Linked DNA regions of Tamandua tetradactyla. The protein of the gene in region 3 interacts with the protein of the main gene of each other region in a biochemical or structural test. Links are inferred from orthologs where the notes say so. Each region holds a gene or a part of one and is shown on either strand. Other genes may lie near its edges. The genes, in order: RASA1, ITK, KHDRBS1 and FGR.

Region 1 (7,683 bases), on a different chromosome or scaffold from region 3:
AATCAAATATTAATTTAGTCTAAAAATATTTCTTCAGTATTTTTTCAAAAGATTTGACATTTTTAACTAAGTTAAGACTTTTCTCCTCTTCAATTTAAAAATAGGAGCTTATAGAAAACACTTGAACGTCACCACTGAAATTGCTTAACCTATTCCTGGAAGCCTTTATTAAGCTAAAAAAAATGTTAATATAAGTAATCACGGTAAACTTATAGCACATAGTATAAGTTTTTGGAAATCAAAAAACATTCTCTAAGGGTGGTGGCAACAGTGGCTCAGTGGCAGAATTCTCGCCTGCCATGCCGGAGACCTGGGTTGGATTCCTGGCGCCTGCCCATGCAAAAAAAAATGGAGAAAATACCTTCTCTAAAACAGCTATTAATAAGGGAATCCCTTTAACAAAAGAATTAATAGGCAATATAATGATTAAATTATACTATTGTAATTTGCAGGGATTATTTACTGAACACTTACTATATGCCAAACACTGTGTTGAATACTTTCAGGTTTCTCATTAAATCTTCAAAATGACCTTACAGGGGAGGTACCACTATTATCCTCATTCTACAAATGAGGAAACTGACCTTTCCAAGATCACACAGCTACTAAGCGGCAGTCAGGATTCCAACCCAAATGTTGTCTAACTTCAGAATTTGCAAGCTTAACCACTATACTGTATTGCCTCCAGTGACTGAGTTGATATCTAAGATAAAGAAAAAAAGGAAATTTGTACTCCTCAGTGGCAAATTTTTAAAACATAGTAGAAATGGGATACTTTTTAGAACATGAAAAATTCTCATAAATATAGCCCTATTAACATTTTTACTCCGGAACACATATAAGGATAGAAATCTCACACAACAGACTTCTCACAAACATGTTCTATGTTTACTATTAAATACGTTTACGTTTACTGAAAATTTAGAACTATAATATCAAAAATACGCCTAATTCAATTTAGCTGTGAAACAGCATAAGACTAGATTCTGTAGATTCTTTCAGTATGAAAAACTGCACTTTATTGTTAACTACCATGCCAAGCACTTAGTGGACACTCAAATATTCAACTGACTGATTTTTACAACAAAAATTGGAAATTTGCAAGTACTGCTATAAAATTACAAATTTAATAGCCTCAGAAAAGTCTGTAATACATAGATAGGATAAATAAATTGGAATAAAATGACAGGACAAATGAACTTTGCATTAATATAAAGGGAATACAACATCCCCATACTATAGCTGGCATAACTTTACTTTTGTACCTTAAACATCAAAAGATGTAGCCTTAAGTCAAAATATGGATTATTATTACAGAATCTTTTCCTAATCAGTTTTTAAGTCCTTTCTAAATCCTTTAAAGAAGCTTATTCAAAACACTTTCAACTGTCCAGTGATTATCAACATCTGAACTAAGTCTTTTTTCTTCTGATACCAAATTTTTAAAATTCTAAATGTCAATTAAGACTAATGTCAGGGATCCATAAACAAGTTTTACCTATCACCACTTCCCATGTCAACATTTTCCTCTCATCAACATCCATTTTTATAAATACACACCTAAGTCCATTTAAGAAAAGAACAAGATGGGTAATGACTTTTTAAAAAGTCGTTTGTCCTATATACTCTGCAGTAGAATGTCAAACAATTTTCAAATACAATACTAAAATGACCACCAACAAAGGGTTAAAGGGGAAGCACTATTAATTCTGTCTTGCTTCAGCACTGCACTTATTCAGCTATTAAAGAATTACTAATATTAATAAATACCAATTCAATAGAACAAGTTACAGACATTTTTAGAGTGTGGACACTTAACCACACCTGTAATTCACAAAACTCCTTTCCTGCTTCTCTCTGACACAGGTTTTCATAAGTGGTTCAAAGACTTTATTTTTCCAATAGACAAAAATTAGGATTTGCAGTACAACAAAAACAAAACATTCTGACTCATGCATTTTTCAAATGATTTTAACCCAATACTTAAATACTTGTAATTCAAGTATTCTCACTAATCATCCAACTTCAGCAGAGAACACATACGCAGGCTAATACAGACAATGACTGCCTTGGTAGCTGCAATCTCAGCTGAATCCCAGTCCACCACCTGAATTTGGAAGGGGTAGAACCATATCCGGTTCTCACTGAATACACATTTTCCAAAGCTTCCCATCTTAAAAACTTTACATCTTCCCAGAGGAGCAATAAACACACGAAGACGCCAGGGAGCGTGCCTGTAGGGAAGATGAGTGATCAAATTAAATCCCCGCACATGGAACCTGAAGCTTCAAAACTTTTTTTCAAAACAAATAACAGCTGAAAGAACAAGACAGGTTTCCCTCTGCATGCCCCACTTCTTTCTTAGAGCCAGCTTTCCTGGTTCCTTGAGCAGCAGTTTTGACTTACTGGTTAGTTGGAGGAGCAGTCAGGGGGATGGCCACTTCTTCCTCCTCGTATTCTGGTCCATCCAGAGAATCACCTTCGTCCACTGTTCCCAGGCCCGCGCCCAGGGAGGGGAACGGAGGAGGGGGCGGCAGAGGGGGGAATCCTCCTCCTGGCCCGAGGGTCTCGGCAGGCAACGAAGGGATCCCTCTGGTGAGAGCCATGTCCCCACCAGGTCCGGCAGCAGCAGCAGCACCAGCCACGCCAGCAACAGCACCTCCCCCTGTCAGTCCGGCTCCCCCCAGGACTCCCGCCACGGAACCGACTCCTAGGAACCCTGATGCCAAAGCAGCTCCACCACCCAGAGTCCCGGCCACTCCGGCTTCGGCCAGCCCAGGGTAGGGCACGGCTGTTACCGGCAAGGCCGCGGGTATCTTCACCCGACACACTGCCGGATAGGCGCTGGAGCCCGCAGCCCCGCCGCCTCCTCCTGCCCCGGCGGTCACCGGACCGCCCTCCTCGTTCCCGGCCTCGGCCGCCATCATGTTGAAGCCCGCTCTACTCGGCCCTACCCTGCCCGCCCGGGAGCCCCGGGGGCCAGCAGGCCCGGGCTCCGAGTCACCCCACCCAGGCGCGTCCCCTCTTCAGCTCCCCAGGCGGAGGAAACAACAACAAAAGGAGGGAGCCCGCCGCCGCGCCCCCTCCTCGGGCCACAGCCCAGGCTCCGAGGCTGCCCGGGTTACGGGAAGCGAAGTGGGCAAAAAATCCAACGCCTGCACAAATGCCGCCCAAACCTTCACCTCACACACCCACACACGCACACACACACATGCACAGAAGCGAAAAACTTCCTGACTGCACTAAAGAGGAAGGGGAGCACAGGAAAGCGGCTGGGGCGGCCGCCGCTCCTTGAGCCGCCGCCGCCGCCGCCGCCACCGCCTCTTCACCACCCGAGTTCCGGCCACCCCCACCGCAGCCACCGCCGGTGCCGCTGCCCGGGCTGGGGCCACTGCAGCCGCTTCATCCTCCGCGGGGCTGGAGATGGGAGGGGTGTGGAGAGGCGGAGAGAGGGGGGCGGGGTGGTGGAGAAACCGGCGCAGCTGCTCGCCACCGCGAGCTCACAGTTATCTAAACCCGAACGAGAGAAAGGAAGGCGGGGCGGCGGGGGCGGGGCGGCGGGGGGGAGGAAGGGCGGGGTCGGAGGGAGGCGAGGCCAGTCTGTACGCACGCGCGAGCCCGGGGCTGGAGGAAGGGAAGGACGAGTGGAGAGGGGAGGGAAGGAAGCGGCGGGAGCGTGCGGCGCGCGCCCTGGCTCGTTGTCTTCCCCCGGTCCCGGCGCGGGGCAGCCTGGCGCTTTCGCCTGTCCTTGTCCCCCGGCGGCGGGTGTCCTGTCCTTGCTGCACCTCTTGCCGGACGGGACGGCGGCGCGAAGGCAGGCCGGTGCGGTCCCCGGGGACCGCGGGAGGCCAGGGGGAGGGTACCTGAGCACCTGCCGGTGAACGCCGTGGAAACCGGAGAGACGAGAGGGACGAGCTTGCGGTAGAGAGGAAGGAATGGGGAAGGACAAAGGAAGATGCGGAGGAGTCAGTTCCTTCCTTCTGGACCGGTAGAAAACAAGCGGCCTTAGCCAGCGGAGCCGGGGCTCAGCAGTGGACGGGCGGGTGGCTGCGGCGAAGGCCGAGGCAGGACTGTCCATAGTTTATTTTCGTTGAATGATGTAAATTAAAATATGACTATTACAAACTAAAAAAAAAAAAAAAAATTCTGTAATTCAGGAAAAAGCGAAAAAGATAAAGGGGACCAAACGGGGAAGGTGGAAAATTTTGGTAGAAATACCGGTAGTGAAGTCCGACTTCTACCAGTGTATGTGAAGGTTTTGTTTTCTTAACCGACCGTGTCACCCAGACACTGGGGTTTACCTGTGCTGCTGCAGGTCTGTTAGGGACTGAGGAGGGGTGGGACAGGAGAGGGGCCGCAGCCTCCGCTAATCAATGCGCTTGTGTCCGTGTTCCGCCTGCAGAAGACTGCAGGGCATGTCCTGCAGTGCATACATGAATGACTGGGATCCTTCCACAAGGCAAATGTCAAGTAGATCCCAGAGTGCAAGTTATATATAACTTTAAAAGTTAACAATAAACTTGCTTCATATATGTGGAGGTAGTTTGCTGTTTGGGATTCATGTATTTTTCTTGTCTTTTAAATTCCCCCCAGGAGGGCTACCACACTGAATATCATTGAATATTGGCCTTTGAAATCGATATTTCTCTGCTAAGGATGATCAAACCAATATAGAAGCCAGAGAAAAAGGGAAAAAGCTACTTAAATGACAAGGCATACTCAAGACTTTTCTTTGATTTTAGAATTTGTGTAAGCCTGTTTACCAAGTCATTGGTAAGCAAGCTCTTGATTATAATAGTCCTGAGTGCCATTATGCTTACTTTTTCTCCAGTGTACCAGCTGAGAGAGTGAGGAGGGACTAGACCCCAGAGCTGTAGTTATCAAGGGGTCGCTTCTGATCAATTATTTCCAAGGAACTTAGAAATGCAAATTCTAGGTCCCCACCCCAGGCCCTCTGAATCAGAAACTGTGGTTGATAGAGCCTTGGAGTCTGTGTTTTAAGGAATCCTCCAAGTGATTTTTAAACTTAAAAGTTTAAGAACTACTGCACTTGAGTATAGTATGCTAGTCATGAATGAGGTATGCAATACCTAAAAACGTTTTGAAAGAAAGAATACAGGAGGAAGCAGATTCAATGACGTTCATTAGAGGGTGGGTAAGAGAGTTGGGTATTGGGTTGCTAACTATTCTAAAAAAGGAGGTTAGGAACAAAAAAGACCAGAACGTAGTAGTTCCATAACGCTGAAGGAAATAATAAATGACTATGTCTGGTGGCCTTTCTGAGAATAGTCTTCCTTTTATTTAGACTTAGAGCCTCAAAGTTAGAAGAGATCAGGGAAATATATATTTCACCTAAGTCCTAATGTATGAATCCGCCTAAGTCCTAATGTATGAATCCGCAGCAAGTTTCCATGTAACCTTTTCTTGAAGAGCTACAGTGTCTTAGCATCCTTCTCCTCCAACACTTTCTCTTAATTAAAAGTGATCATCTCTAAGTGATCCTACACCATGTGTATTATGTCTGAGAGCCCAGGTCAGGCTCACTCCCCTAATTTGTAGAATTGCTTCTGCTTTTTGAAAATTCGTTAGCAATTAAAGCCTGTGTTTTATACAATCTAACACCAATTATATACTAGCTTAAACTGTTTTCTAAACAGTTAAAGCCAGTGTTAGGCAGCCCCAACACACTGCTTTGAAAAGATCTCCATTCACATAACAAATACTAGATTATTTGATCAGCTCACATCTTTGGAAATCAATTTCTCAACTACTAGCAAGGATGTTCTAAGTCTTTTTGTAAATAACCTAGTACCCATATCTTACCTAGTTTACGTTTAGCTTTATAGTTGGCACTGTCCTTTTCATCCCACGCATTTTTTGACGAGGTATTTTCCAAATATTTTATATATTCTTATTATTGGACAGATTTAGGCCTTGGTTTTACTATTGTTATATACTTCCTTAATATCAAATGAGTCTTCTACCTTTAATGACTTCTAATTTCTTTTGAAAGAGTGTGATATTCCTGCCTCCTTTATCTTTGTTACTTTTTTCCTTTTTCTCCTCACCTTGACCTTCTGCCTTTCTCTGATTTATATGCTTATGTTCTCTTTTTTCCTACTGATTTCTCCCCTAATTCCTACTTATCGCTCCCTTTCCTCTCAACCCCCTAAACTTTCTGATAGATATACTTTATGTGTTTCATGAGTCCAAAACTGCAGACATTTTTTTTAAATACTATGAAAAATCTATTAAAATATTTTTTATATTTTAATATTTTAATAGACATTGCAGGGATTCTGTAGGAATTGGGGTGCTAGGTGTGCTCTTATACAATGTCAGTAAACGAAAGGAAGTAAACAGTCTGTTAAGTAAGTGCACAGAGAGTATTAAACAGGAGGTACTGAAAACAATATTCAAAAGAATACGGGGAAAAATTCAAAATAGCTTTTTAAGTTTAATAAAATAATCTGTAATAGCTGCGATTTTGGAAAAGTTACTGTAGATACTGAAATATGGTTTTTGATGAAGAATAAGTAATCAAAAATTCTGGGCAAAAACTTGTGGGTGAAAAGACATTGAAAATTTAATTTTTTAGAAAATGAAGCTGGCTCATTCTTTATTTATTGGCAACTCAAATATGAACATGATATACTACAAAATATTTTGCAGTTTTTATACCCTAAGTATGAGAAAAGGTAATTCTGAGTTAGTGATATAACATTGTTTCATACAGCCTCGAGGGATTTAGAGCAAATACATAAGTAGATTTGACTGGAAGACTGAGCAAGAAATAATATTTCGTTCCATGCCCTAATGCATACTCAGATGTATAAATAGGCTTCCAATTTTATCTAAATAGTGTAAAAATGTTTCACTGATGCAATAATTTTGAAAAGAAGCTTTTACTCCTAATTTGTAATATTCCCATTGCATTTGTTGACCTTAAAGTTCTCAAAAGGAGGACTGTAGGATGATGGCAGAATATTAAGCTCCAGGAATCAGTCCATCCATGAGAAAAACTGTTAAACAGGCAGCAGCTGTCTGAATCAGCTATTCTGAAACTCAGCAGTCCAGTAAAGCACTGTACTGTATCCACCGAAGAGCAGGAGGAAGAGGCTGCTGAATTATACTCAGATACCTGAAAAATGTTCTCCATGGCAGTTACCAGCATCCATCCCCAACTCTCATAGCAGGCAACAGTGGGGTGCAGTCCCTGCATAACTTTCTGGTGCCAGAAAGGGACATAAAAATCTACTTCGCCAAAATCTAGGGTGTGCACAGGCCAATGGTTTATCACAACATTTTATTAACTACTTCGGATCTCTGGGGGCCCAGTTCTAAGGGTGACCGTTGTTCCAGTGTGCCCTGAACAAAGGCAGTGGAGGGAATTTTAAGGCAGTATACTTCCTCAAAGCTGTGGAGGACAGTTGAAGGTCTGCATCTGCAGGCCAAGTAAAGAGCACAGCTTTGGGGAGCCATGGGAGAAGCTCCTGGTGCCCTTCCCTGCCCCTCCCTCAACTCTCTAAATGGCAGTTTGGAGCTGGCAGGCATTCCCTTTGTATGTTCCTGAACTTCTGTCTGGGAAAGACTGACTTGGGAAACTCCTCTACAGCGTGCCCCTCCTCCCAGGATTTGCCCTTTAGGCAAAAGAAACTTGAAACAAGGATAGGAGTGTACGAA
Region 2 (8,015 bases), on a different chromosome or scaffold from region 3:
AAGAGTCTTTCAAGCAGTATTATAATGACATTAGGCATGGCTATTAAAAGCAAGAAATAAAAACAATTAATCTGCAGAATAACAATTTCTTCTTCAGTAAAAAGCAGGGCTATTTGGCATATAGTGTCATAGGATTGCAGAATGTTAAGCTTCAAGACATAAATTTACAAATGAGATAGTGAAAGGAGCTGAGGTGGTGAGATGGGCAGTGGCTGGCCCAGTGTCCCGTCACATAGCTCATGAAGCATACACATTTCTCCCCACAAACTTATATTTATCCCAGAAGAGAAGGAATCTAGGACTAATCTGGTCTTAGCTTGACTTTGAAGAATTCTTTTGTATTTCCTTTTGTTAGAAAGAAAATATGTTATCCTGCCCTGCTAGCTCCTTCAGAGATATGATGCTGCAAATGAGAGCCAGTCCTTACCAGGTGCTGATTAGGTGACAGACTGTATGCTAAGTACTCTATATGTTACATTGAACCATACTGAACTGCCAACATCTGATTGTTCTTGAGCTACAAATGTATCATTTCAAATAGTTTGCCATAAATAGGTTGTCTCTCAGTCTTTACCACTTCTTCAGGAGGTGGGTACTATTATCGTACCCATTATACAGATGAGAAGACTGAAGCTTTAATTTAAAAAGACAAAGGTTCTTTCCATAAGTGTAATGCAATGGTTATTCTAGGTGATGCACAGTGCACTCTTGCCAACAAATCTGATTCTAAACAATGGGACATACATAGGGCATGATCAATAATAATTTATATATCCTACCCTCCTCGGTGAACTTGCATAAATTTCTAATCAATAAATTTCTATAACACAAAGAAATTCAATGTTGCTTTTAAAAAATTATTTATGAATATAAACCATAAACATTAAAAAACAAGAAATTTGGTTTGTGTGTATATCCTTTATATCCCATAGGGAAGCTTTAGAAACTATAGCCCAAGGCTCCCCCAAGGCCCTGGAATGAATTGTCCTGGAATTTTTCATAAGGCTCTGATGAAAGAAGCAGAGTGATTATCCAACATTCTCTAAAGGCAAATTACAACCCACAAAATCAGAATAAAGGCCATTTGGTTGTGTGATTATTTGCAAATAATATCATACTGAATTTATAACATAGTTTACAAACAACATGCTGCTAGGAAATTGTTGGGTTAGGAAAAAAATATATGTGAAACTGTTCAATAGGTTTTGAAAAACAATATTTAAAGGCAGATGCCTGCTTTCAAGGTGGAAAAAGAACTTTCCATGTCTCATTCACCTGAAGAAAACTGACCAATGCTTTAGATGATGAATCACCCAAGTTCAAAACTTGGCTACTGGCCCTGTATTAATTTAGTCAACGAATGTTTATTAAGCACCGACAAAAGCCATCTTGTATATAATAATTGACTGCCATGTGTTTCCTGATTAATTGGTTGATGTTTAACAATAAGAGTCTACTGAATGGCTTGTATCTAGTTTTGTGAAAAGGATATGAGCAAATCTTTCACCCTCTAAAGAAGAGGCAGTATTATTTTATTTGCAACTTAAAGGGCACTGTTGCCCAGCCTTGACTCATTCAGAACTCCATTTCAACAAACACTTCAAAGCCTGGCCTTCAAGAGACCCCAACCTCATGTGTGCACTTACTAAGACAGATCTCAGCAAGGAATCAGTGCAGCTTTTTCTCTTCAGACCATCAAGCAGTTGACGTTATTTCCCCTTCAGTAAAAGAGAAGTAATAACCTCTGCTCTACCTCCATAGTAATGGGGAAATAATAAAATGATACAGTAAGAAATCAAAACTGCTTTGAAAAATTGCTGTGAAGCATTAAAACGACTGTTGCTTCAGAGAAACAAAGGTATTTTTAAAGAAGGAAGAGCTCTTGTATGTCATTAGTTCCAGTCCTTTCATTTCCTAAAGAAAGAATCTTAGGCCTGGGAAGATAGACTTTTCTCCTGACCCCTCGTCTAGTACTTTTTCTACCAAATGGCATTGTTATGTGTATTCCTGTGGCACTTATTATGTTACTGAATATGGGAATATCTTTAGATACATAAAAGGCTGACTTAGCTAAGCATCTGAATCTTCTGGCTAAGAACCAACCACTGCTCTGCACTATAGGACACTCTGTGCCTAATAAACCTGGTCACCTGAGAAGTTTTCAGAAGTTTAAGAGGATTGTCACTGTACCTTGCAAATTTCAGATGATATTGTAGACAATTAAATTCCCAGGGCATTTTATTCTAAGTGTCAGGTAAGTGAGGACCATTGAGACAAATAGAGTTGAATTTACAAAAATGTTGTTGACACAGAACTCATCACTTAACCAGCACCAGTTTCCCCCATTGCAGAATAAGGAAACTGGGCTAGTATCCCATGGTCCCACTGAAAGCTATTATTTTATTAATCAATGTCCCATAAGACATAGTATATTTCAAAGAAGTTCAAACTCTATCAAATCATAATGTTTGCCACGTAAAATGCTATAAGTTTGAAATTAAATTTTGTATTGCAAGATTAAAAAGCTGATGAATATGAAACTGATAGTTGCATAGATTTTAGACGTGTAATCACATACTCCAACCACCTCAACTCTTGACTCCCTTCCACATTCCTTTCTGATTCCTCTTATTGTGCATTTAAAGTTGTTGTATTTTATTCCATGTATAGTTCAACAAACAAGCCCAACCCAAATATAAAAAGAGACAAAGCAAAGTGCTCACGTACCCCATGACGGTCCTCAAAATATGCCAGGCTAGCTTTGGTTAAAACAAAGAAGCGGACTTTAAAGTTGGAAGGCGACGTTCTCCTCTTCTGTTGGGATTTCTTGATTAGCTGTTCTTCCAGGAGGATAAAGTTGTTCATGATTAAGTTCTTGAAAAGTGATGCGCTTTGGGCATCACCCCTTAAAACAACCCGAAGAAACAGCTTGGGGGCAAGGAATGCGATGGGGAGGCAGTTGATCTTCCGAGTTGTTCAAAGGCAACTTGCCTCCAACCTTATCTTTCTATCAGTTCAGTCAGCCTCACAGAGCTTCCCCTCTGATGTCAGAGGCCACAACCACATCCTTTCAAAGTCACAAAATTAAGAGACACATGCAAAAAAAATGGTATACACATACACCTTTTGGAAATGATATTTGAAGAACTGTAGCCTCAAAATGATATTAAGCATAGGAAAGCTTAGAGTCTAATCTTTACAGTTCCTGGTTTAGGCCATCTGACAGTTGAGGCATATGGTACCAGGGCTCAGAACGTGGGCATTGCAATCCCTGGGGCATTGTTTCATATTAGTTTCCTGGCTTTCCTAAGTCAAATCCTCTAATAATACACATGTGGCACCTTATAGGTTTCTCTTTATACCCCTCATCACGGTTGAGAGCGTACATTTGAGGAGAGTGTGAATCGCTAATTGATGCTTGTCTCCGCCATTAGTCTAAAAGCTCCATGATGGGCAAAGACTCTATTTGCTTTTACTCACCCTTTATGCCTCCAGCATCCACGTTAGAGCCTGGCACATAAAAGGGATGCTTAATAAAAATTTATTGAATGAATAATCAGCAACATAAGTTGGATAATTAAAAGAAATAATTAGCATATAACACTTGGCATAATGCCCAGCATATAGTAAGTACTCGAAATATATTTTTAAAAATTTAAATGAAAGCCCATAGAAGTTTCTCTGTCTCACAGGTACAAGATTTTACTTTTCCGTTCATAAACTTAGTGGAAGAGCAGAAAGTAAGTAAATCTTTCAGGGTGGCATACTAAACAAAGCATGTATGGGCTCTGAAAACAAACAAATTTGTGTTGGAATCCCAGCTCTGTTGCTTACTAAGCTGTATTTCGTCAAGCAAGCTGCTTTCCTTCTCTGGTCCTTCATCTCTCTATGAGGTCCTTTTGAAAACTTAATCACATAAGCTCTGTAAATAGTGGGTGCTAGTCACTAACTTAGAGTTAGTACATAGTTGAAGTGTAGTATGTGAGCCCAATTTTCAGCCTGAAATAAATAATCAAGAAATCTCAATGTAAGCGGAAATGGCAAGTATTGAACAAGAATAAATAATGAAACAAAAGAATCATTACTGCTATATAGGAGGGAAATTCTCTAAAGCTTACTTTGTTAACATAAAATAAGTATACTACGATCTAATTTTGTTTTACATGCTGAGTGCCCCAGCATAATCAAGAAACTTTGGGAGAAAAAGGTTGGGGGGTACTTTAAACGACCTCTCCCTGTTCTCAGATTTTGGAACATATGTGTGGAAAAGCACTGCCTTGTAATAGTAATATTTTTTTCTGAGTATGGACTAGAGGCAGGGATTTCATTTTTCCTAAAATATCTGCTCTCTCATTCTACCTGGAAAACTGAATCCCTGAAGGTTAGCTGAGCATCTGGCCAGCCAAAATAAAGAAAACATTTTGTAGCATCCCTTATATCTTGTTGTAGTCATACAACTGTGTTGTGACCAGTGGTACAGAGTGAAAATAGTGAGCATGAACTTCATGAAAGAGGTCATAACATTTCCTTTCTCCTTTCTCCTCCTTCCTGCTGATTAGAATGTGAATGTGATGGCTGGAGTTGGAGCAGCTATCTTATATCATGAGATGGAAATTGCACATTGAGGACAATAGGACATAAGATAGAAACAACCTGGGCTCCTGATGACCCTCAATCCTCCATGATGGCCCTGGGTTACATTTTTTAACATAATGAGAAATAAACTTCTATTTTGTAAGTCCCTGTTACTTTGAGGTTCTGTTACTAGCAGAAAACCAATTCTATCTAATACAATGCTATCTTCCCAAGCTGGAGTATAAACTCCTTTGTGTGGTGGGGGTGGGGTATAGATTTATGTTTGGTTGATTTAGCTTAAAAGATTTACGGACTTCCCACAAGTATTCTCATCTGAGAAAGCAAAATATTATTGGTAGCTGATTGCAATAAAAGGTTTTCATTTATCGTCTCCATGGAGTACAATCACAAATAATTTTGGGTGTTTCTTATAGAGCCAATAAATTCACTCACTGAGTTGGTCTTTGCTCACTACTAAATAGCCCTCTTTGGCCAGCCCAAGATTCTTCCCATGGCTTTCAGGAAAATGTGGAAAGAAATAGTCCCTTTGCTTTGGGTGTTTTTTTTTTTTTTGCATGGGCAGGCACCAGGAATCAAACCCGGGTCTCCAGCATGGCAGGTGAGTACTCTGCCTGCTGAGCCACCGTGGCCCTCCCTGCTTTGGTTTTAAAAGTCCAGTTCACCGGAGCCAAATTCAAGGAACCCCCACTGACCAAGGATGGAACACACTGGGCATCAAAAATAGTGATAATAAAACAGTAATGATTTGAAGAGCATCAAAAATGTTAAAATCTTGAGTTCATGAGTTCAAAAGATTCTTGAAAAAACATCCCAACCCACTGATCACTTTTGGAGGATGCTAGGGAACCAGTTTGTTATTCTGAAGATTGTAAAACAACAGGAAAGAATAAAACGTGTATTCTGATTTTTCTGAAGAGCTCTATCTCAGTTTGATGATCAAATACTTAGCGTTAGATACCATGTGACTCATCAATTCCCATCCTAGGTATACACCCCAAAGAACTGGGGGAAACAGGTTCTCAAAAAGATACTTGTAACTACTGTTCATAGCGACATTATTCACAGTGGCCTAAATGTGGAAACAACCCAAATGTCCATCAATGGATAAATGGATAAATAAAATGTTATATACCTACAATGGAATATTATTCAGCCTTAAAAAGGAATGAAGGATATTTATGGTGACATCATCAATATTATCAATATGTAAGACACCCCCTGAAAAAGGCTTAACTGAGATTTAGCGACTAAAGGGACAAGTTTATAATTGCTTAGAACTCTGGAGGATGGTAGAGACTCGAGAAAGACCCCACAGATGCTGAATCAAAGAAACAGAAAGATCTCAGGTAGGAGAATTCCCTCGTGGATGTCACTTGGTTACTTGGTTCCCATACAGCTTGTGAGACATATGGAAGCATCCTGCCTGGGTCCTTCCCCGCATGGACTGAGACTATAGAATGACTCAGAGCAGTGAGTTAGAACTCCACATATATCCAGGCACCCAAGACCTAAGTGTGCAGACCCAAGGTGGAACACAAACCTTGAGGAGTGCTGTATACAAGAGGGCCCCCAGGAGCAAAGGAAAAATGAGTAAGAGAGACCACAATGGAAAGGCTGGTAGGAACTGCTGTGTCCTTACTCAATCTAGTTTCAGCTTACTGGATCACCTATGGCAAAATGGACTTTTTAGAAGTGACCCACCTTTCTGGATTGATGCATTTGGCTCTCTGGGTTAGGATACCTTAATGGGGAAGAAACCAGAAGCAAAAAAAAAAAAGCCTCATAGAAAAATAATGAGGGGTTAAATTGAACTGCTGTAAGATTGAATTGAATTGTGTAAGGAAAATGGGGCACTGAGTGAGGGAGAGAATTTAATAGGAGCAGGGAGAAAAAGTCTGCATAAAAACAAACAGAACAAATCAAAATTCCTGTAGAAGGAACAGAGGAATGGAAACTCTCTCCTGGAAGTAAAACAACTGCACAAAAACTGTAATCTTAAAAAGTGTACCACACACACACACACACAAAAGGGTACCACATATCTAGGGCAAGAATAAGAGGAAGAAGAATTTGGAAAATGTGAACATTTAGACATGGGCTATACTAAAGGTCTAGAATAAATTAGACCAACCATCAAAAAAAAAAAAAAAAAAAGATCTTAACATAAAGCCAAACAACAATAAAACCCTAGACAAGACGGAGAAATTAACTTCAGCGTTAACTCATCAAAATCAGCAGATGCCTAGACATCAGCAAAAAATTACAAGCCATGCTAAGAAACAGAAAGCCATGGCTCAATCATGGGAAAAAATTAAAACTTGAAAGACTCAGAAATTGGAAATCTAATCAAAGATGTTCAAATAAATCACCTAAATCAATTCAAGGAGATGAAGGAAAATATACAGAAAGACATGAGGGATATTAAGAAGACAATGTGTAAGCATAAAGAAGGATTTGAATATATTAAAAGAAACATAACAGAAATTAGGGGAATAAAAGCTAAAATAGCAGACAAAAATACACATGAGGCATACCATAGAAGATTTGAACAAGCAAAAGAAAGAATCAGCAAAAGACAAAACAATCAAAATCATGCAGTCAGAACAGACAGAGAAGAGAATAGGAAAAAACTGAGCAGTGTCTCAGGGATTTGAGTGATAGCATGAAGTGCACGGACTCATGTGCCATGGGTGTTCGAGAAGGAGAAGAGAAGGGAACAGGGTCAGAAAAAATATTTGAGGAAATAATGGTAAAGAAATCACCCAACTCTTATGAAAGACATACATATACATGTCCAAAAAGCTGAGCATACTCCAAACAGAATAAATCCTAATTGACTTTCTCAGACACATACTAATCAGAATGTCAAATGGCAAAGAGAAAGACAGAATTCGGAACGCAGCAAGAGAAAAGTGCTTCACCACATACAAGCGCTCCTCAATAAGACTAAGTACCAATTTCTCAGCAGAAACCAGGGAGGCAAGAAGGCAGCGGTGTGATATATTTAAGGCATCAAAAGAGAAAAATTGTCAGCCAAAGTCCTTTATCCAGCAAAAATTTCCTTCAAAAATGATGAAGAGTTTAAAATGTTCACAGATAAACAGACACTGAGAGAGATCATCAAAATGAAACCTGCCCTACAAGAATTACTGATGGGAGTTCTGCAGGTTGAAAGGAAAAGACAGGAGAGCACGGCTTGGAGTAGTGGAAAGAAATGAAGATTATCAGAAGGGGTAACTAAAAGAGTAAATGCAAAACCCAATAGCACTTGTATCCTCAATGTACTACTCTACTCTTTAATTCATATAAGAACCAGAATACAATTGAACAAGAGAAAGGCATATTTCCTGACAACAGATGTGGAAAACATAAAGTGGTAAACTGGGACAAAAAAAAACAAAAAAAAACAAAAAAAAAAC
Region 3 (7,060 bases):
CTTAATTCTTTTTTTTAATTGTTTAGGGCTTAATTTTTAAGTACAGTTTGGTGCAGGTGGGGGTGGTGGAGTAGGTGTGTGGATCCAAACTCAGAATAAGTTTAAATCCTAGCTCTGTTACTTATTAACTTTCCTTGGGTAAACTATTTCATCTCTATATGCTTCAGTTTCCTCATCTGTGAAAATAAGGTTAAGAGTAACTTCCTCATAGTGTGATCCTGAAGATTAAACATTTAATGTAAGGAACTCAGACCAGTGCCCGGCACTTAACATGTGTCCTCATCAGTGCTAAAATACTGTCTCCTCAGTCTCATTTTCTTGAAGTTGATTGTGACTTCACTGCAACTTTTTTTCCAAATCATTCAGAAATACCACAAAAGTCAGGCCCATCATATATCAAGACTTATACATGCTAAGAGGTATCCAGTATTTCAATTCTGTTCTCTCTTTGAGCCAACATCACATCAATTCCATTTCTCCAAATAAAAATTTCAATTTGGTTAAAAAAAAAAGGGCATAGCCAATACCAAAAAAATTAAAGAGCATGCTCTTGGATAACAGAAATTAAGCAGTGAGGGGAGGGTGAAAATTTTAACTTTTAAGGATCAGTATTTTTAAATGATTATCCTAAGAAACCTTTTTTTTTTTAACTTAAAACATGAACATCACACTGGACACTCCAAAAGGTCAGAAAATATCTTTAGTTTTCATATCTTATTCAGTACCATGGATTTATAACTAGAAGACAAGTGTGATGACAATTTATTACTTAATGATTATAGGCCAAAGGAAACTGTGCTAGTGCTTTTACACATCATTTACTCCTCGTAATTTATCATTCCCACTTTACAGATGAGGTTATTAAGGCTGAGAAAACTTCCCAAGAACACATAACTAATTGTGGGTAGAATTTTAAACTGGTTCCAACACCTTAATGTTCTAAAGCTTGTTATTTTCTTCTGATGCATTTAAGGTGGACTGAATTTAAAGATTTGGGGAAATAAAATTAAACTAAATCAACCTTTACCACTTAGCCTGCAAGTACATGTTACCAGGTTCAACCAAACACTTGGTGTTTGCAATATGCAAGGCAGTGTGAAAAAGAAAAAGAAAAAGCAGTCCTTGGCCTCAAAGAGCTTGCTAGAAGAACACAAGGAATAGTAGTAATGTTCCAAACAATCCGAAAGAATTTCAGAACAGTAAAGCACTGAGTTGAAAAGCGTCAACAGTTTTATCAAATATTTTATTCTTGACCACTGGGAGCTTTGCTTTTTGTGTTTAAAAGTAAAGACCCCTTATCAATGTTGGGAGATAAGAGAACAAAGGGATCATTTCATTTATAATCATCTAACTACTCATTCAGTGTCGAACGCTGTAAAATTTTACTTGCTTAATAAAATTTAGGTACCGTAAGAAATACCTATTAAAATAATATTTTAACTAGAAGCTAAGGTAAAACAGCCGGCTTTGGGAAGAAATCACAGCGACAAGGGGATTGGTCAGTGCTGATCAGAAAAGGAGAGCTAGTCTACAGAGAACAAAGACTAACATTCCTAATCTCTATTTCACTACTGAAGCAAAAAGAAGGAAAAAAAAAAAACCACTCACAAGCCTTTTAGGTACAACCATCGCGCAACTTATCTCAATAATCTATAATTGTCCATCTTCTTCGGAAATGTTTGGCAAACCACCCTGGTGTCCCTTACCTTCCTCTATCATCCCATACCACTGTCTATAGGGCTATTTTTCCCTTTCTTGAATGATGAGAGTGAACACACGTTGTAAAACTAAGGTCACCAATCTTCCAGCTCTGTAACAATCATTTTATCGACCTAACTCGGAGATTTGTTTCCGAAAACCTCAAGTTCCGACCCTCACTGGTCGCTAGCTACAACCTCTGGGCAACTCAATCTTCAGTCACCACCAAGACCCACCCAGCCCTAGCGTTGGCGGCGCGCTGGACAGGGCACTCCAGCCTCAACCTGAACCACACCTCGGCCTCCCACAGTCCCTCCTCGCTCGGGTTCAGTCTTCATTTCCTATGCTCTCAGTTGAGACGCGTACCACCACCAGCCATCGAAAAGGTTTTCCCCGTGGGGGAATCGGGAGATACACATTCATTTCTGGAAGAAGCTGAACACTTGGAGCGCGGGGCAGCTGCAAGAGGTGGGAGGGAGGAGGGTTAGGAAAGAGGCGGGGAACTCAGCACCATCCATCAAGATCTCTGCGCTAAGAGATCGCCGAGCCGCCTTCGAACCTCCATCGCAGAAATTCTCCCTCGCACCCCGAGCAAGGAGAGGAATTTGGAATCCAGCTATACGGAGGACGAGGATGAAAGGGGAAGAAGGGTCCACGACCGTCTCGGTCCCGGAGGCGCGGGAAGCGAGAGGAACAAAGCCGCTGCCACCCACGCCACTGGGTGGCCGGGTGACCCAGAGGGACCCGAGCGGTCCGCTTACCTGCCGTCAGCAACTGCATGGCATGAGTAAAGGAAGGATCGAGCGAGTCCTTCTCGGCCATGAGTTCAGGCAGGTACTTGTTCTCCGGCTCCATCTTGACCGAGGCAGTAGCTGAAGGGGGCAGCAGAGGGGTCGGCGCTGGACCGCCCACTGTCGCGTCGGGACCCGTGGCCGAGGGCGGCAGCAACGGTGGCGGCTGCGTGGCGGGCGAGGCCCGGGCGGCTCCCCGGGATCCTCCTCCGCCTCCCCGGGACCGGTGAGAGAGCGGAGGCTGCCGAGACGGTGCCTGACGCACTGAGGAGTGGGCTCCTGAGGGGTCCATGGAGCCACTGCGGCCCGAGGACCGGATCATGCGCGCGGCGGGGTCGTCCCGGCGCTGCATCTGGGAGGCTGTGTAGTCGAAGGATCGAGGAAGCGACGCGGCAACAGCAGAGGCCCTAGCGGCGGTTGGCGGAGGTGGGAGAGCGGGAGCGACAGCGACCGAAGCCGACCCGAGCGACCCAGCGAAAGAGAGCACCGGAAATGAGACGGCGCGCGTGCGCAGCCAGTCACCGGCACCGCCCTTGGGTTTCTCCGCGGAGAACAAAGTCCCCAATTGGGCCATGGCGCCTGCGCACCACTGCAGCGCTCGAAGAAGTCTCCTCCCCATTTCCCTTTTCCCTCCGAGTTCGACAGGCCTAAGCTTTTTGCGCATGCGCAGGTCGCCGCGGGCTTCGTTAGGTTTCTTTGCCACGTGACTCGACCCTAGCGGGACACGTGTCTCCTCCCCCTTCAGATCGACAGAGCGAAGGGGGCGGGGACTATGGAATGTCTTTGTCTGCGGGCGGGGGGGCGGAGTGTGGGGCAGGAGGCCTGTTACTTGCGAGGCTACGCCCCCTCCAACGGCTAATCTGCGCTCAATAGGGTGGACTTGGGGGTGGGGGTGGGGTGCAGGGGGTTCGCTGAAGGGAGGAAATGAGAGGAGACCTGGGTTGAGGGACTGGTGAAGACGAAGAAGAGAGAATCGAGGCTGCCTGGGCAGGAAGAGAAGGGAGAGAGGCTGCCTGGAGTAGGGAAAGGGGAAGAGGTAGGGCACCAGGAGACAGGGATGAGGAGGGGAAGATAAGTTAAAGTCTCGAGCAGCTATGAGGAATGGAAATGGGGAAGGAAGGTTTGGAGGCAGAAAGAGGGAGAACGGCGCTGTGGAAACCTTGAAATCTGGAGGATTTGAATTAAGAGTGAAGGTACAGATCGGAGGCCTAGCAAAGAAAAGGACCCCAGCCCCAATCCAGGAAACGAGAGAATTCATATCCTGTGATTTCCAATATAGTAGACATTGAAACATTAGCCACTGTTGTTCAGAGATGTTTTCTTAAAAGAAACATTTTAGCTCTTACATATAGTACTGATTCCTGCTGGTTAAGTGTTTCTAACATATACACACCAAGTGGTTTTGAGTGTTATTGCTCTTGTCTTCGTTGGGCCCCTCACTATAGATTGTTCCATACTTGCTGAAAGAGACAAACCCTTGCCACTGCTCTGAAGGCCAAGATACGAAGAGGACATTCTCCGACGGCATCTTTTTTTTTTTTTCTTCCATGATAATTTAATTAGATGGAACAGATCAAATTTTTCTCCTTTTTGATCTAATGCCTAGGTTTTCCCCCACTAAATGGGCCAGTTGTCTTATATAGGAGTTGTTGTTTTTAAAATGCAATTTTACTGAGATATATTCACATACTGTATAATAATTCAAAGTGTACAATCAGTGGTTCACAGTATCATCTTATAGTTGTGCATCCATTATCACAATCAATCCCACAACATTCTCATCCTGGGGTGTTATATGCAAGCAGAGCCTGTCTTTATTTTCCCATATCCCCTCAAAAATCTGGTGATTTCTCTAACTTTTCCTTCCATCCACAGATTTTCACTTCTCCCATTGACGGCACTCAATTTCTTTTCCCTTTGGATCATTTCCCCTAATGAGCCTACCCTTTTCAAAGATGTTTCTGGAAATTATTTTCAGGGTGCCTGGAAACTATTGATTTTTGGATATGAGAGGTAAAAGCATTCAACTAGGGAACATAAAGGCCTGACTACCTTCTTGGGGGTGGGAGAGAGAAATTACCTTCAGAAATGAGAACAAAACACAAATCTCCATAAATTATCTTACCAGTCTTACCCTCCCCCCCCATTAGACTCTAGGCCCCAATATTTTTTTTAACTTCAGTGTCGGGAGCAATACTTTTCTTTGATGTCATATAAGAAGTGGCTTTTGGGGTGCATGGGTAGTTCAGTGGTTAGAATGCCCACCTTTCATGCAGGAGACCCAGGTTCGATTCTCGGACCATGCACCACCCCCCCTCCAAAAAAAAAAAGTGGCCGTTGTCCTCAGGTGGTTTACAGCCAAGTAGAAGAAAAAAGAGAGAACATTTTTGAATAATTGCAATGCAAAATATAAATGTAACAAGTGCTAAATATAAGTGAAAATTTAGTGCTAATGAAGTTCAAAGTAGGAGAAGATAGATTTCAACTAGGGGAGGATGAGTTCTGGGTAAAGAGAATTGTGAGTAAATGAGCAGAGATGAGAGTGCCAGAGATGCATTCAGGAATGGGGGTAATCCAATTGTGTACTGTAAAGGAATAGGTGGGTCTAGGGAGCTATTGCATGGAGGAGCAGAAAAGGAGCCAGGAGAAATTATAGCTCCCTTGTAACTCATTTCTCCCACCATCATTGAAAATCCTGCTTGGGTGGTGGACTACAAATGGCTGAAGTGTCCCTGTGCTGTAATGAGATGCCCAAATGGAGGTACCTTGAGATAACTAATAAAACTTTTATAAAGAAGGGTCTGAGAAGAAGCTGGGTAGTGTGTTATCTGTGGGTTTTCCAGACTAGAATCAACAGCCTTTCCTGTGGCTGCCAAACCCTTACCTTCTCTGGAGGGTGGGATGGGGTATGCTTTTCTGGTGAGAAGCACAAAAGGTAATCTGAGACGAGGTTATTGATGCTGCCGTGTCCTTATTTTTACCAAGTGATGCGGCTGTCTTCCTTTTGTGGGGCTCTTCCTGGGATTAGGAAAGAGTAATCCTGTCCTGAAGGCCCAGAGGTCTGAAGTTCATTTTGTGTTGATCAGAATCAAAAGAGTCAAAAGACTCTGACTTTGGAGTGAGGTAGACAAACTGAAATCCAGCGACGCTTTGTCATTAGGAAAATGCTGTATGTCATTAGGAAAATCACAACCTCTCTGAGCCTTTGTGTCCTGTAACGTGAGGGTCATGCATGGCATCTGCCTCACAGGGTTCCTGTGCACATCAACAACACCAGTGTTAACCTCCTGACACCTCATTATTCTTATGACAGTTTGTGCCTAATGAAGATTTTTGGGTACTTTATGTTGGTTCTGGGTCTGAAAGGCGTAGTGTGTAATCTGTATCGTTTTCACTGACTATAGCTAGGCTTTGTTTTGGAAGGGGAAGGCCAAGCAAGAAGACCAAGTTTCTTTTCCCCGCCCAGTTACTGTGGTGGAATATGCAGGAACAACTGAGAATGCCATGATTCAAACGGAACTAGGTCCGAATTGTGCCTCTACCTTTTGCATGCTGGTGACCGAGCAAGTTACATCACCTTGCTCAGCCTCTGCTTCCTCCTCCTTCAGAAAACAAGGGGTAATAACAATACCTATCTCAGAGCTATTAGGATTAAAAGAGATAGTGTCTGTAAAGCACTTAGCATAGAGGTTGTCAATTAGTAGGTGCTTGATAAGCAATAGCGGTCATTGTTATTATTACTACACACATTAATTGAGTACTTTAGTGCAGACTTTCACTTTCACTTGAGTCCCTAATGGATGGGCTGGAGGATTAAAGTTTGCCTGCAGTTGCTGGACCTGTGTGACCTCCATGGATGGGTGTCTAGCAGGCCCCATCTACTTCCCCTGCATCACAGCCAGTTCCCAGGAGAGAATAGCTCTGTCTCTGGGCAGGAGGGTTTCTCTTCCAAGAGTGTAGTTTGTCTGTTTAATCTTAAACCTACTGAGTGCCAAATATATAGAGGGAGAGGAGAAGGGATGGGGGGAGGGGCGGGAGTCAACATTGAATAAGAGAGAGTCCCTGTCCTCGAAGAGCTCACTGTTTAGTGAAGGAGACAAATAAATAAGCCAAGAGTTACCACGCAGTATCATTTTCACTGACTATAGCTAGGTAATAGAAGAATATACAAAGAGCTGTGGGAACACACAGGAAGGAGTGACCGACCAACTGCCAGGATGAGTTAGGGAAGTTGGATCTTTGGGGAGTTGCCAGGTGGAGCAAGGGCAGGACATTTAAATGATGGGATTTCAGCAGAGCTTGGCCCTGAGCCTGTGTACTGTGTCCTCCACACTTAAGGCTCTGGAATTCAGATCTCCAACCCAAACTTATGAGTTCCAGATCCTGATAGCCAATTACATCATGGACATATGTCCATTTGGATGTCTCAAAGGCCCTTGAAACTCAACTGTCCCCTCTAACAGAACTCAAGCTGCAGGTACTAGCAGTGCTGCTTTTGGGCCCAGGTGACTTAACATAGCTCCCAGTTTGGAAGTGTCTCCTCCTTCCTGGGCTGGGGCTTGGTCCAGCCC
Region 4 (7,432 bases), about 4.8 Mb from region 3:
CCCTTCCTTTCCCTAAACAAGACCCCTCCAAGGCAGGGTGGAGGGGATGGCCTGTGGGGCCGGGCTGAGAAGAAAGAGAAGTTCCCAGGGTGCAGTGGGGAGGGCTGAGTTGGCTTAGCTGCCTGGGGGATTTCACCAAAAGGGAACTGGGACTTGGGGCAGTGGCAGGAAACCACCATCCTGCAAGAGTTCCGGCTTCTCCTCAGGGTTCTGGGCTGGGCAGGAGGCAGGCCAGGGTTGGAGGGGCAGGAAGCAATTCTAAGATCTGCAGGCCACCCCCAGCCCCTCTGTGCCCCACCCCTCACTAAGACCTGACCTGATGAAGGAAGGGTTCTCTCACCACTCCTCACTGAACCCCAGGCCCTTTCTGAGCCCTTATCCCTCTTATTAAGGTCGCCACCTCTCACTGAACCTCCATCCCTCTTATTGAACACTATCTTTTCTGGAGGCCTCACAGCACCCACCCCCACCGGCACCCCACCCCAAACACTCACGGGCCCTAGCAGAAAGGCCCTACTCTGACTTTACTACCCTAGTGGGGCCAGGTGCATGTGATGGGGGTGGGGAGTGGGGGTGGCAGATACGTGCCACACCAGCTTTTTCCTCCACATGGTCCTGAAGGTACCAGCTGAGTTTTCTCTACTTGGGAGTAAAAGTGGTTTCCCATCTGTCTCTGAAAACCCACCAGCCTCTAAAACAGGAGTCTGAGTTCAGCTCCCACCTGGCCTGGGACTCAGAATTCACAGGAGATGGGAGCCCATGGATGTTCTGGGGAAGCTGAGGAGATGAGAGTTTAGATTCCACATTGTGGCCAGAAAGGAAGTCCCCTTGCGAGTCCTGGGGGGGGGGGGGGGCACCCTTCCCTGTCCGCTCTGTTCAGGAAGGACCCTGGCACCTCCTTCCCCAACTCTGGGGTCTCCTGCTCAGCCCACCCCCCAGGGTCTGACCACTTCCTTTGCCTCATTGGCCCCAGGTGGCTGCTGAGAACTCCTAAACACCCACACGGGCTCACTCACATGCTCATGCTCATTTGCTCAGAGCCCGAATCAAATTCACACCCTCACACCCTCACGCCCTCACTCACAGCTTCTCGCCCCCTGGAAAGCAGGAGAGAGCACCGATACACACAGCCCCCTGCGCCCACTCCCGTGTCCACCCCTACCCCTCTCCAGAGGGCTACATGGGACTTGGCAGGGATTAGGTGGGAACCCCTTTGTCACAAGCGAAAGAGGCCCTGGAGTCCACTCCCAATGGCTGGCCCTGTCGTTCGCTGCCTCCCAAATTTCCATCTTCCCATCTGTGAAGTTGGAACAGGGCCTTGCTCTCCCACCCACCACCAGACTGAAGGATGCCAAGGGCCTCGGGATCCCTGAGAGACTCCATGACCCAGGGGAAGGCTGGCTGGGTGTGGGGGCAGATCTCACCCCCAGTGACTCCGCACGGTGGGCCCTCCACACATGCACAGACACTTACTTATTTATAAGATACTAACTGTGTGCTGGTGCCTGGGGGCCCTATCAGTGAGACCCAGGCTTCCTGGCCCCCTCTGTGCCGTCGAGAAGGCGCAGGAGAGGCTAGCTGGGTCAGCGAGGGCCTGTAAGCTCCCCAGGACACTCAGCCAAACTGATTTCTGTACCCGATTCACACAGATTCAGGTATAGGGGATAGGGGCAGAGATCATTTCTCCCCACTGTTCAAATGCAGAAAGTGAGGCCCAGAGGAGCCCGGTAACTTGCCCAAAGTCACACAGCAATGAAAGAAAGGCCCAGACTAGCTAAGAACCCAGGTCTCTGCAGGTTTTCCCTGAAGGATCCCTGAACGATGTGCATCAGGGCCTCACTCCTCTGTCCGGCGAACGGCCCCTGCCTGGGGTCCCAGAAGTCAGGAGGTGATGAGGACAGAAGGGGCTGCTCCAGTAAGGAGACCAGCATTTGCCAAGAGCCCGGCTCTGCCTCTCCTCCCTGGCGTTGCCATGGAGACAGCCCCTCCGGGCAATCACGGTCAAAGGCAGGATTTCCGTCGGGGCGGCCAGCAATTCCCGGATCCCGAGGGGAACGCGGACAGAGCCCGCCACTGCGGGGGGGCGGGTACCCAGAGAGGCCTGACTTGCCGAGGGCGGGGACTTCCCCAGGAAGAGGGGACCCGCGCCTCTAGAGCCTAGAGGCGTCTCCTCGCTGGCCCGGGTCCTCCCACCCGGCGGGGAGGGAGAGTCTAGGGGGAGGGGGAGCTTCGTTCCTGGCCGCCTGCCCCCCCACCCCCCCCCAAGCCACAGGCTTCACCCCGGGCTTCTGTCAGTTGGCGATCGGGGATCTCCTGGGCCCCCACAATTGCGTCATACATTCTGAGTCCCCCAGAAATGGTTCTCCTTGACCCTTCTTTCCTGCAAACTGCCTCACCTGACCCTTCCAGTCCCCCCGCCTAGCTCCCCTTCCCTAGACTCCTCAGTTTCCCCACAAATTCTCACTCTCAAGGTCCCTTCAGTTCTCCTCCAGACCATTTTTGGGGAGGTCCCCTTACTCCCCATGCCCCGACTCTCTTAGCCCTTTTTCCAATTTCGATCAAACTTACTCCACAGGTCCCCTTCCCTTTCCCCAGCAGACCTTTTTGGGGAACCCTCTTAATCCTCCCCTGTTCCCCTCCACAACTTGCATCCAGTCTCACTCTCCAGGTCTCCTGAGTTCTTCCCAGACCCTTCTCTGAGCGGGAGCCTCTTGGTCCAAGTCTCTTCAGCTGTCCACCCTAAGGCTCCCAGGCTCGCTCCCCCAGGCCCCTGTCGCCGGGCCGGGCCGGGCCGGGGGCGGGGCACGGCGCTGCGCCTCCCAGCCCCCCACCTGCCTACCTGTGCCCGTCCCCGGGGCGATCCAGCGGGGCTCCCGGCCGCAGCGAGGCCGACGCGGGGGCGGAACCCGGGTCCTGCTTGCCTCTGCCGGCCGCGGGCTCTGGCTGGGAGGAGGAAGCCGCTTCGGACTTCTCTTCTCGCAGCGGTGGCGGCGGCGGCGGGGACAGCTCTCAGTCACGCCCCGGCCTCGAACCAGCTGCCCGCGCGGGGGGGGGGGGGGGGGGGGGGAAGGGGCCCTCAGATCCTAGGCTCGCCCGGCCCCACTTCCCACCTCCCCGGGGTGACCAGGGATCGGCCCTCCCAGCCCTCTCCCAGCACCCCAGCCCTGTCCCCCACCCCACACCCCGCCTAAGCCCCCAGTACCACCTTCCCAAAGAACCCCTCCCCCCCCCCCCCCCCCCCGCAAGGCACCTGCTTTCTTAGAATCATTAGATTTGAGGTTAGAAAGCACTTTTCTCTATCACTGAACCCACTGCCCTCTCTGTCCATTGAGGCCCAGATGGAGACAGGTCTGACCCAAACTTTCACAGCCAGTTGACCTGGAAATGTAAGAGCCATTGTGAGTCCATCACCTGCCTTGCCTCCTTCAGGGCCCTGGGCACTGGGGCACAGGGATGCGGGAGGTTGGGGAGTAGACCAAGAACCTTCCCTGGGGAAACTACATTTCAGAGAAAATTTGCCTTCGGGTCACAATGAAGGAGGAAGGGTGTCAGCCCTCCCCTTGCCCAAGTCTTAGAGAAACAGAGACCATCTTCTATCAGCCTTTGAGGCTGGTAGGGATCGCTGACCCCTCCTCAACTTGGGGGTCAATTCCCCTTCCCACAGCTGTTACTTCCTTAGTCTTAAACTAAGGCCTAGAAAAAAATTCTTCCGGTGGGGAGGAAGATGTATGGGGAGGAGGGTTGTTTGATGGAGAAGTGTGCACGTGTTGGGATGCAGTGGGAAGGAAGGGAGGGTGTGTAAACACAGAAGCGTGTATATGTGCATATGCATGTGCATGCGTGTGTGTACAATTGTAGGCAATGAACACGATGGATGCAGTTTTGGAACCAACCGCAGGGCGTATTCTTCGGAATCGTGTGTTTCTGTGTACGGGCAGGGGAGGGTTCAGAAGCCTGAGAGGGGGTGGGCTCAGATGTCTGTGCGATGGGTTCTCACAGAGTGGCAGAGAGTAGTGGGATGCAGGTAGGTGTACTTTTCTCGTAGGGAAACGGGAGGAGGGATGGGGAAGATGACACAAGGGAGCTGGTTGGGGTGGGGGGGCAGGGGCTTCGGAAGGGTGGTCTCGCGCTGGCTGGCCAGCATCATCTCCACCATCCAGCACTCCCTGGCTGGCCTTTGGTCCACATGTTCAGTTAACAAACATTTAGCATTCCCTGGCAGGTGCCAGCCTTAGGGAGCACCGGTGAAAGACACTGGTCCCTGCTCCTGGGAGAGCCCCCAGTTGCTCTCATTTACTTCTGTCATCCTCCAAGGTCTAACTCACAGGCGCCTCCCCAGGAGGCCTTCCCTGATTCCGGTTCCCCTCTCCAACAGGGCACTCAGTGCCTTCTACCAGTATGTATGACTAGTTCTTGGGGAATGGATGTGTGGGGATGTGTTTTCCTCAAGGGCAAGGACTGGGTCTGGCTCTTTCCAGCGCCCCCAGTGCCCATGCGGTGGCTGGCCCAGAGCAGCAGGCTCTCTGGACATAGGAATGCATGAATCCATCAAGGAACAAAGGAATTAATGGGTGAACAGATGAAAGCCCAATGAAAGAGCAAATAATTGAAGGTAAGATGTACCTTCAGTCCCTTGCTCAAATATTAAATAGTCCCTCCAATAGCTTATCTCCCATTTGTCTTGGAATAACAAAAATGAAATAAAACAATGATAAAAATAATTAAATTTGGTGTGTGACTATATATCAATAAATTTTTTTTTATTTTAATTAAACTTAAACTCCTTCCCACGGCTTCCCAGGTTCTGTCTGGTCTCTGCCCACCTCTCCAGTCCCACCTTGGGCCAGCTCCCTCTCCAGCTACACTGTGTAGTTCCTAGACTACATTGAGCTTCAAAACCTTCTCTCATGCTGTTTCCACTTTCTGAGACATGCTTCTCCTTGCTCTTCATAATACCGGCTCCTTTCTGTCCTTTATCTAAAGTGTCACCTCCTCAGAGAAGCCATCCCTGATGACTCCATCTAAGGATCTGCCACCTCCATTCTTGGTCTCAGCACCCTGTTTGTCTCCTTCATGGCGATTGGAATTATGTATTTCTGCTTATTACTTATTGTCTGATGTCTCCTGGGGTTAGGCCACCTCCTCCCGTCCCTGAACTTCCCTTGCCCAGATCAGGGCTCTGACGTCCGGACACATCTGTACCATTTGAAATAGGGACAGGAGGATTCTCTGACCCTCATCCATCCATTCAGAGTAACCTAGTGGTGAGAAACATAGACTCTGGGCCCAGACTGCCCAGCTGTAGGTGAACTCTGCCTCTTGCTAGCTCTGTGAACTTAGAGAAGTTATTTCACCTTTCTGTGCCTCAGTTTTCTCATCTGTAAAATGGAGATAATAGTAGAACCCACATTATAGGAGTCTTGGGAGAATTCACTAAGTGTTAGACTAGTGCTCAGTACATATATGTGCTTGCTATCATTTATTCAATTGATCAGACCTCAAACCTTCACTCAAACCTATTCTGGGTCAGGCCTTTTTCTGAGCGTTGGAAGCTTAGATATGAATATGGTTCATTCCTTGGCCTCAGACGCTCCCTGTTTGCACAGAATATGGGTGGATACAGTGCAAAGAGGCTACAGGAGTGGCCTGTTCAAACGCCCTACTCTCTGGCCAAAGTCTCCTATCATTCCCCATAATTACATGCTCCTTTAACAGAAATCTGACAACTGATACCAAAACCAAAAACCAAAGCTCACAAGCCCATTGGAATCTTCCATTCATTTTCCCATCAGGCCATCACTCTCCTATTTTTAACCAGCTTAGATTCCATCATCAGTCTTTACAGTCTTCCTTTGCAAATATTTTGTCTTTCCTTGTCTCTTCCTGCCTCTACTGAACTTGCTTGGAAAACTCCAGGCCTGCAGGAATCCTGCCATTCAACTTCTCTCAGTGTGGAGGAGAAAATCACACCCCAGGGAGACAGGTTCATTAAGTCACAGCCTAAACTGAACTCCTCTTAGTAAGCTGTCCCTATATCTCTCCCCAGATGAACAGTTCACACCCTTTCTTATGTTCCCCAACTTCTTCTCCACTTGGATTCTAAACCCTCTCACCTTCTTGAAGACTTCATGCCTTCTGTAATCACCTCTCCTGCACCATCCACTTGTCCCTCTCCATGGAATTACCTGCTCAACATATGAACATGTTCTAGACTAGAATCTCTCACTTAAAACAAAAATAACAAAACAAGAAACCTTCCCTTAGAAAAGTAAGCATTTATCCTGCCTTTTTCAGGCGGAATGGTGGTTCATTCCTCCTTGATAATGGAAGGTTCTTTGTAGAAGAATGCTTCCTACCAAAGATAGAATTTGAAAAACTCAATTCTGCAAACCCAGTGAAATAATTGATTTAGACAAGAATCGTCAATGATGCTGAAACCACAGGTGAAAGGCTTTAAGGAACAGAATGTTCTCACAGTGCCCAAGTAATACCACACAGATGACTTGCTATTTGTAAAGAAGAAAATGTTCCTTTTCAATAGAGAGACCTGGTGGATACCCCACAGCTGGTGCTCAATCGGCAGTATGTGCCTCCTCATATGATGGCTGTGAAGCCCACAATATTACCATGGAAAATTCTTGCCATAAATATTTAGCCTAAATCCAATCAAGTCTCTGACCAGGAGTTGGCAAACTACAGGCTAAATCTATCCGGCTGCCTGTTTTTGAACAACCCATGAGCTAAGAACGGCTTTAACGTTTTTAAATCATTGCAAAAAATTCAAAAGAAGAATACTATTTCGTGACATGTTCGAATTATGATGAATTCAGATTTCAGTGTGCATAAATAAAGTTTTATTGGAACATAGTCATGCTCCATTTACACATTGGGTATTGCTGCCGTTATGCTGATACATACTGATACAATAGGTAGTTGCAATGTGACTATAAGGTTTGCAAAGCCAAAAGTATTAAGTCTCTGGCCTTTACAGAAAAAGTTTGCCAACCCCTCCTCTATAACTACCTTCCAATTATAAGAAATGCAGGGATTAGAGGAATAAGTTAAATGGCACTACAAGGTCTCAGTGGGGGATGTTCTACAAGATAATTAGCCTGGGCACTTATAAAAGTTGCTGTCCTAAAAAAAAAAGAAGGCAGGATGGGGCATGACCTGTATTAAAAGAGACCAAAGAGACATCACCACCAAATACAATGTGTTAACCTTAGCTAGAGTTTCTTTTGGAGAAAAAAAACCCCAGCTATACTTAATACATATGTGTATTAGCTGATGTGTTTTTCTCCCTTTTAGACTGCAAATTCCACTAGGGCAGGGCCTTTGTTAACTACAAGTCTTCCAGCAGCTTGCTAGTGCCAGGCACCTGATAGGTGCTTGATCATTGCTGGATGAAAACAGAAATGAAAGAAAGAATAAA

What was found.
Region 1: the proteins of KHDRBS1 (region 3) and RASA1 form a complex in vitro, tested with the Homo sapiens proteins (2 studies listed by BioGRID). The link is inferred for Tamandua tetradactyla from reciprocal best matches to the Homo sapiens genes KHDRBS1 and RASA1.
Region 2: the proteins of KHDRBS1 (region 3) and ITK form a complex in vitro, tested with the Homo sapiens proteins (4 studies listed by BioGRID, with this or other methods). The link is inferred for Tamandua tetradactyla from reciprocal best matches to the Homo sapiens genes KHDRBS1 and ITK.
Region 4: of the proteins of KHDRBS1 (region 3) and FGR, one has a biochemical effect on the other in vitro, tested with the Homo sapiens proteins (2 studies listed by BioGRID, with this or other methods). The link is inferred for Tamandua tetradactyla from reciprocal best matches to the Homo sapiens genes KHDRBS1 and FGR.

The regions. Positions count from the first base shown.
Region 1 is NC_135347.1:44,038,702-44,046,384, forward strand, and holds the start of RASA1 (ras GTPase-activating protein 1), read right to left. Parts: upstream 3,016-7,683; 5' UTR 2,928-3,015; coding exon 2,407-2,927; intron 1-2,406. UniProt on the Homo sapiens protein: Inhibitory regulator of the Ras-cyclic AMP pathway. Stimulates the GTPase of normal but not oncogenic Ras p21; this stimulation may be further increased in the presence of NCK1.
Region 2 is NC_135346.1:38,277,279-38,285,293, reverse strand, and holds the start of ITK (tyrosine-protein kinase ITK/TSK), read right to left. Parts: upstream 3,012-8,015; 5' UTR 2,866-3,011; coding exon 2,728-2,865; intron 1-2,727. UniProt on the Homo sapiens protein: Tyrosine kinase that plays an essential role in regulation of the adaptive immune response. Regulates the development, function and differentiation of conventional T-cells and nonconventional NKT-cells.
Region 3 is NC_135328.1:193,833,475-193,840,534, forward strand, and holds the start of KHDRBS1 (KH domain-containing, RNA-binding, signal transduction-associated protein 1), read right to left. Parts: upstream 3,004-7,060; 5' UTR 2,842-3,003; coding exon 2,460-2,841; intron 1-2,459. UniProt on the Homo sapiens protein: Recruited and tyrosine phosphorylated by several receptor systems, for example the T-cell, leptin and insulin receptors. Once phosphorylated, functions as an adapter protein in signal transduction cascades by binding to SH2 and SH3 domain-containing proteins.
Region 4 is NC_135328.1:198,648,860-198,656,291, reverse strand, and holds the start of FGR (tyrosine-protein kinase Fgr), read right to left. Parts: upstream 3,020-7,432; 5' UTR 2,840-3,019; intron 2,759-2,839; exon of another isoform or gene 2,662-2,758; intron 1-2,661. UniProt on the Homo sapiens protein: Non-receptor tyrosine-protein kinase that transmits signals from cell surface receptors devoid of kinase activity and contributes to the regulation of immune responses, including neutrophil, monocyte, macrophage and mast cell functions, cytoskeleton remodeling in response to extracellular stimuli, phagocytosis, cell adhesion and migration.